Macaca fascicularis: one gene and its partner. The protein of the gene in region 2 purifies or fractionates together with the protein of the main gene of each other region. This does not show direct contact. Links are inferred from orthologs where the notes say so. Each region holds a gene or a part of one and is shown on either strand. Other genes may lie near its edges.

Region 1 (3,815 bases), on a different chromosome or scaffold from region 2:
CTGGTACTGTGAGGTTAAGAAGTGCTGCTGCCACTCCCCCAAAGACAGGAAGGGAGGGCAGGAGGAAGCAGGCCCTCCCACACCCACACCGAGAGGGCCTCCAGTGCAGCTGGCACAGCAGAAATGGGGTGTGCAGAGGCCTGGCCCCAGCCCCACAAAGCAGAAGAGAGAAGGGGGCTTTGTTGTGAAACAACAGCTTGAAAAACTGGCCGAGTTATAAATATTGGCATTGTCATTACACTTTTAATTTTTCACACCTAAACTGGTAATAGCAATTTAGAGTAACAGGTTTTACACGAGTCACTGTGGTATAACACATGTAGACATGTAGTCAGCCCACTTTGTTGTTGTTTTTGAAATGGAGTCTCACTCTGTTGCCCAGGCTGGAGTGCAGTGGCACAATCTCGGCTCACTGCAACCTCCACCTCCCAGGTTCAAGCGATTCTTCTGCTTCAGCCTCCCAAACAGCTGGGACTACAGGCACACACTACCATACCCGGCTAATTTTTGTATTTTTAGTAGAGATGGGGTTTCACTATATTGGCCAGGCTGGTCTCGAACTCCTGACCTCATGATCCGCCCACTTCAGCCTCCCAAAGTGCTGGGATTACAGGTGTGAGCCACCACACCCGGCCCACTCTTTTTTTTTTTTTTCCCTAAAACAAATCCTCTCACACCTACACTCTGTTCCTTTAGGGACAGAGACCCAGCAGAACATGCTCAAGAGGACTGCTCCTGTCATACACCCATGTCACTAACAGTGTAAACATTTAAAGTCCCTGGTGTGTCCCTTTGGGTTCAGCACTTGCTCACACTAGCTCCACACCCGGCCCCTCAGGACCCCCTCGAAAACACTGGTCCTGCAGGGCAGCAGGAAGTTTGCGTCAGAAAATGCAGTTCTTACCACAGTTCTTCAGGGTCAGGAGAGGGTGGTTTGTAGGCAGTGGTTCTGGGGTCGTCACATCCAGTCCAGCAGCTGCGATCTGACCACTGGCCAAGGCCTGGTACAGGTCGTCCTGGTTTACAACGTCGCCCCTGGGAATGACAGTGGTGACGTGGGTACCATGAAGATCCCTCCACCCAGGCCACCTTTGAGGCAGAACCACCTACAGAATGAATTTTTCCACTCACCTGACACTTGGCACTGACTTTTAAAGCACTAAGTCTTAGGTATACTTACAGTATGTCTATCAGTCTCATATACTCAGAGAACTCCAGCCTGCCTCCTCCTAGCTGTGTGACCTTGGGCAAGTTTCTCAAATTCTCCGTGCCTCGAATTATCTGTGTCTCAAATTATCTGCTCTGTGACATAAGGAGAATACCACCTAACTCCCAGGCATGTTGGGAGGATTAAAGCTTTCTTACATGCTCTACTGCATGAACAGGGCCCAGAAGGGCATCTGTTAGGCCCCATCCAAGTGTTTCTGATCCGGTTGGCCCCCCAGACCCCCACTGAGAAGCACCACAGTGTGCTATCAGGCACCTGCCTAAACCAGAGCAGAGGAATGAGCACACCCCTAACCACATCCATCAAAGGCAGCGGCCACTGAAGTCAAGAACTGATCTTCTAGAGACTGTATATTGTGCACTAAGTAATACAGGGTCCTGGGCTGTCCTGGGTACACGCAGGCACCCGGTACATGGCAGCTATGACTGGTGCCAGCCAGCAGTGCGAGTCCTGTGGTCCTGCATGTTTCACTCTTCCATTCCCAGGTTACCTGTTTTGTGGCTAAACATTGGTAATTACAGGTACCTTTGGGGTGGATAAGTCCTCAGGGTGACCTCACCCAATCCCCCTTCCCCTAAACTTACGTAAACAGGCTCAAGGGGGACCAGCTAGGAAGGCCTTGGAGTGGCAGAGAAGGAAGGTCTGACCCCCATACATGCTCAATGGCCTGACGGCAGCCCTCAGGACAGTGTGAGGAACTACAACCACGTGAGTTTTAGGGTCTGTCTGCCCAGGGGGGTAAGATTCAAAATATCACTGAACCACAGCCAGCCAAAGCCAGGCTCAGCAGTGTGGGAGGCGGCCTCCAGAGGGCCCTTCAGATCCTGAAGTCCAGCCCTTTGTGGTTGAGGACAATGGGCCTGCCAAGGCTCCCTGGGAACACTCCCTGAAGCCACCTTGCTGTGTGCCAGGCCCTGCCAGGCAGGGGCCACTGCTGAGAAGCAGGCAGGCTAGGCCCACTCCGACGGCTCTTCTTCCCTGTGTGGAGCTCTCGTGTATTCCCACGAATTTCTGAGTGGGTTGGTTGGTTTATGGAAACCAGCAAGCTCAGCCTGGGGTCTTATCAACAACCCACGGGGAAGAAAATCTCCAGATGGCAGCAGTGGGGACGGCTCCTCTCCAGGCTTGCTGGGTAAGGTGGCCCTAGGATACCTGCTGATGTTGACGAACACAGCTGTTTCCTTCATCTTCTGGAAGAAGTCCTTGTTGCAGAGTCCCTTGGTTGCAGGCGTTAAGGAGCAGGCCACAACGATGAAATCAGACTGGGCAGCCAGCTCAGGGGTAGACACTGAGGGAGGGCAGGACTCCATCAGGCACTGAGTCTCAGGCTAGGGACAACCAGATGGTGGGAAACCAGCCCCTTGCTCCCGACTCCCATAACAGAGACTCCCAAGATGCTTCCTGAAGGCCGAGTCTCTACCTGGACAACTCTCATGAGTGTACAAAGTCAAATCACACACAGTGGGACCTGGACCACTCTGGCTTTAATCACCTTCAGGGCCCAAAGTGTCCAGGGGCGTGGGGAATGCTTGAGATCCAGCCTGCCTTCTGCTCACCAGGCTGTGGACCCGCCAGGGGCTGGATCCGCCTGGACTAAAGCGCACAGAGGCTAGGGCAGTGCTTGCCAGTTGATGAAGGAAAAGCGAGTGCAAGTGCCCAGCCCTTCCTCACACCCATCACCATCCCCGCTGCTCCGCCCACAACGGGGATGGCAACACAGGACGCTGAAAGACGGGAGCCCTGGACTGCTCTGCTGGCACGGAGAGGACCTGGGTAAGTCCCTGTGCCCCTTGAGTGGGCCTGTGTCCAGGGGCAGGGAGATTAAACATCTACCAGACACAGCAGCCCCTGGACATGACTGGAGCTCCTGCCCTCTGCCTGAAAATGCCACCATTGAGAGAAAATACTGCCTCTCAACTGGGCACAGATAGGCTCCTGTGGAAATCAAGCTTCACTTACCAAACTCTGCCTGGAATTCCGCTGCTTCCTCAGGCCTGGGCTGGCGCCCTGTGTATAGAAATCTCTGGACACCAAATGGTTTCAGACGCCGAGCAATGGCCTGGCCTAGAGCAAGGAGAGTCCGCGTCTCGTTCCCAGTCCCGCAGAGGGCAGGGGCGCCACCCAGCAGCTCCGGGACAGCGGCCCTCAGGGCAGACCCTTTCATCAGCACAGCCCCAGAGCTGCCTGCTCCTGTCTCCCCCAAAGTGGGTGGGGGGCTGGCTGCCCCGCCGTAACCAGCCCCCGGCCAGCCCGCACTGCCCCAGGGATCTGGAGACAGCACCTCAGCTCCCCTGAGGCTGTCACTGGCTGATGCTGTCCTCACATGGTCCAAGCCATCTGGAAAGCCACTCAGGTTTTTCCTAACCTCTGAGAACTGGAGAGAGTTTTCACAAAGGAGACGCCTGGTCAAGCAGTCCCCTCCTTCATCCTGGACCCTCTGCTTCTGTGAATGCCGTCTCAGACTCCATTTGACTTTTGGTGGCACTGCCAAACTGCCAGCTCACCCCAGACCGACACTTTTCATGTACGCTGCTGCTGAGGCAGATTTGTGCAGTTGGATTTTCAGGCTCAGAACGTGCCCCAAAGC
Region 2 (3,815 bases):
CTATGGGAGTCCAGAGGCCAACTAGGACCCAAGGGGAGAAGTTCCAAGGATGGAAGATTTTAGCTCACCAGGAGAAGACTTTCTAACTGTGGTTTGCAGTGTCACAGGAATCCCTGAATTGCATCACTAAAAGGGTTCAATCTCAGGCAGAAAGGCTTCTCCAAGCAGGCAGATGTATGTGTATAAGTTTCAGGGATTCTCATATACCTACATGTCTGAGAAAACCTCGTGGTTCTGGTTCACAGTGATAGCTGCCCTCTCTATGGACTTGACCACACAACCCCCAGAGGAAGAAGACAGAGCTGTACACATCCTGATGTTCCTGAATTTAATCCTCAGCTTGCTCTTGCCCTCTTCTAAGAAAAGGAGCATGTGGGGGCAGGTGAGTGGGGATGTGGGGCTCAGGAGTATGTTTACCACATCTCCCAAATGACCGTCCTCTCAGAAATACATGGGGGCGTGCAGCAAGAATGTAAGGTATCTTCTGAGGGGGAGGGAGAGTCCACAACAGCAGTTGCATGTTACTCAGAACCTGATGCTTAATGTGGAAACGCTGACCTTCACACGAGCTTACCACGAGGAGTGTCTCTACTATTTTTGCTACATACAATTAGATTTTGATCTGTGTGGATATTGCTCTGGTTGCAAAATAACTCTATTTAAAAACCATCAGAGAGACTTGAGAAAAGGCTTGTGAAAGCATCATGATACACACAGAAGAGAGCGACTTCCTATCCTTGAGAGATGGGAATTGAAAAGAAATGACTGTTTACCTCCATGCATAGCATCAATACGGATCTTCAGTCGGTTTGGCCCAGAAAGTAGTTCTTTCAGTGCACTGAAATCAAAGATGTTTCTCAGCATTGTAGCATATGCTTCCACCGAATCCACAATTTCCACTGTGAGAACAAGCAACATTAAAAGATGGAAGGACTAACCACATTTAGAAAGATTATATTCTGATGTGATTATATGGCTGTAAACCTGCTATTGCTATTTTAAAGGGACAATTATTGAACAGCTCAAATAATATGACTGTTAAATACTATCCAATACTACCAATAGTTATCCAACACTAACAATTTTCCTGAGAGGTAAATGTTATTAGTCCTATTTGATAGGTGAGGAAACTCAATGTGTGAAGCGTTAAGAAACTTGCCCACACAGCTTGGATGAGGCACACAGGGGATTTTCAACAGAGGTTGTATAAATTCTGCTAGGCCACCACAGTGCTTCCCCATTCATCATTTTGAGAGGTGTGTTTTGGTGTTACAGAGAGCAGAAAATATAATGCCTACTTTTAGTTCCTTTTCTTTTTCCAAGTCCATTGTCATCAAGACTTAATGGTACTAAGTGGAAAAAGAAATTTTTTAATGAATCACTTTTCACATGTACTGCTTAAGGAATAAAGCAAATATAAGAACTTAGTATTGTTGTTCTTGTTGAATATTCAGGGCTTCTGAACATTTTCAAAACTGTTGGATATTCAGGGGTTCTGAACATTTTCAAAATATGAAGATTTTAAGAAACTCTCTAGTGGTATCTTCTGAACCTCAAGAATGTCTTCGAGATGCATCAAAGTGGCACTTTATCTTTGTTAGTATGCAATTGTCAGCTTTCCATGAGTAGGTTGAAACAAAAAATGCAATCCATCCTTTGGCCAGGAACTAACTGACTAATAAAATGCATTCCATAAAGTTGCAATTCAGAAGAAAGAATACACGTTAGGGCAAAGTCAAAATGCAAGTCCATTGCCAATCGTCTCATCCTCATTTTATTAATCTGAATACTTTTATAAACGTTTATTCTGTCAATTATTATAATACCTGGCATTCAACAACAAAATGTTAGCCACAGCTGCCTATGTAGAGAGTTGCAATTTGGTCCCCCCAAAATGGTCTGATTTATTTTACTGAATGAGGACAACTAAAATGGAAAATGTAGGGTTGCGAATCATTCAAACCTGAGTTGAAGTCCTGGTTTTGCCATTCATTGACCATGACCTTGAGCCTGTTACTTAACCTCTCTCAGCCTTTGTTTCCTCATCTGTAATAATGAATGCTGACAGTGCTGCCCTGACAGATCTACTGTGAGAATAAAATGGATTAATGTGTGTAAAGACCCTGGTATGTAGCAAGAAGTCAATGAAAAGTTAACTATGAATGTAATCTTACAGGTCTTCTAGTCAAGGCATGAAAACTAATGCCTAGAGTGTTGGAAATGACTTACCCGATGTCATGCAGCTGATCCCTGGCAGGGCCCAGGGAGCCCAGGTCTCTGGACTCCCAAACCTAATTCCAGACTCGTTAATTAACTAACACTTGCAAAGCTCACAGACCACTCAAGGAAGTCTTTCCAAAGCTGAAGACCCTGTACTAAAACGTTGAAAGAAAAATCGCTCAACGTGGAAATAGGAGTGGGCAGAAAGAGGAGGAAAGTAAACATGCCTGTGAAGGGTTTGAACTTATTTTCCAAGTCAAACTGCTGCTTTCCGAGAACACCAAGGTCTACTTTCAGGTCAGGGCAAATTGCATATTCTTCAATTGTCTTGCTGATTTGGAAAATTTTATCAGTTATTGCTTCTGGAGCAGGACCTGGAAATCAAACCGCAAACAGTGGGTCACTTCATGCAGCTCACATGGAAATACAAAGAATCCAAAGCTCATCAGTTCCTCTTCACTAGCACATCTACCATTTCATCATTCAGCCAGCAAGGTGGCAGGATTTTTCTAAAAGAAAATATCATGTTAGGGATGAGTTGTACATGGCTCTTCATATTCAGGTACAGTCAAATGAGAAGCATTTCACTGTCACTGAAATGAAGCAAAGAGCACCCCCCTGCCCCCTACAAAGGATCAGAACCAAAACCCTGGTCTCCCCAGGCTCCAGCTATTGGTTTATCCTACTGAAGATAAACTTACCTGTCCTCAAAATGACAGCAAACTCACCTCCATTAGAAATATTGAATTTGATTCCAAAATCTCCATTGGGGCCCCCTGGGTTGTGGCTGGCTGTCAGAATGATCCCACCAATGGCTTTGATTTTTCTAATGATGCAGGATACAGCAGGGGTGGAGAGGATTCCATTCTGTCCAATAACCAAGCGACCAATCTAGGAGAAGAAATCCAGAACACACTCTTTAACATCAATACATCCAGAGTCACTGCTCAGAAACAACACCAAGATAACAGGCAGATGGACAAAATCATAATAATAATAATAATAATAATAATAATAATCTGTTAGACAAGAAAAGATTTTATTTAATAAAAATCTACAGCTTGGATGTCTCCACCATATTACTGAAGCAGAATCAGCAATGTTGAACAAATTCCTTCAGATGGTTTTTGGGACTTTGTAGTTTTAGAAGAGTGTGTGGTCTGTGTGCACTAGAAGGCTCTGGCATGAAAACACAGCATATTAAAAAGAGCCTTTCCAGATCAGGTTCGCAATGTGGATACACTGAAAGAATATGAGAAAACCCCAATTTTTATCCAATTCAATCATACTTTCAATCCACAACGGGAGAAAAGAAAAGGTTTAGCTAGTTAAAGGGATTCTGCCCAAAGACAAGGCTTTTTTAAAGTAAAAATCTTTTTGAAGTAAAAAAGGCAAATTTTATGGCAAGATTATTGAAAAATGACTCATCAATTTATCTTTCCAGTCAAGCTTGGCTTTTTCATATAGTGGGTTTCCTCAAAGCAAGACACACATACTCCTGTTACAGTGTACCTGGGTTACCTCCTGGGCCTAAGACAAGAATGCTGGAGTTATTCCTGAGTAAACCAGTCAGAACGACCTACATGAAAGGGCGA

Evidence for each region.
Region 1: the proteins of PGM1 (region 2) and GRHPR fractionate together in Homo sapiens (co-fractionation; 3 studies listed by BioGRID). This does not show direct contact. The link is inferred for Macaca fascicularis from reciprocal best matches to the Homo sapiens genes PGM1 and GRHPR.

The regions. Positions count from the first base shown.
Region 1 is NC_088389.1:61,901,731-61,905,545, forward strand, and holds part of GRHPR (glyoxylate reductase/hydroxypyruvate reductase), read right to left. Parts: exon of another isoform or gene 3,594-3,815; intron 3,293-3,593; coding exon 3,188-3,292; intron 2,517-3,187; coding exon 2,381-2,516; intron 1,303-2,380; exon of another isoform or gene 1,036-1,302; coding exon 905-1,035; intron 1-904. UniProt on the Homo sapiens protein: Enzyme with hydroxy-pyruvate reductase, glyoxylate reductase and D-glycerate dehydrogenase enzymatic activities. Reduces hydroxypyruvate to D-glycerate, glyoxylate to glycolate, oxidizes D-glycerate to hydroxypyruvate.
Region 2 is NC_088375.1:171,094,279-171,098,093, forward strand, and holds part of PGM1 (phosphoglucomutase-1), read right to left. Parts: intron 3,112-3,815; coding exon 2,949-3,111; intron 2,595-2,948; coding exon 2,448-2,594; intron 900-2,447; coding exon 774-899; intron 383-773; exon of another isoform or gene 261-382; intron 1-260. UniProt on the Homo sapiens protein: Catalyzes the reversible isomerization of alpha-D-glucose 1-phosphate to alpha-D-glucose 6-phosphate. The mechanism proceeds via the intermediate compound alpha-D-glucose 1,6-bisphosphate.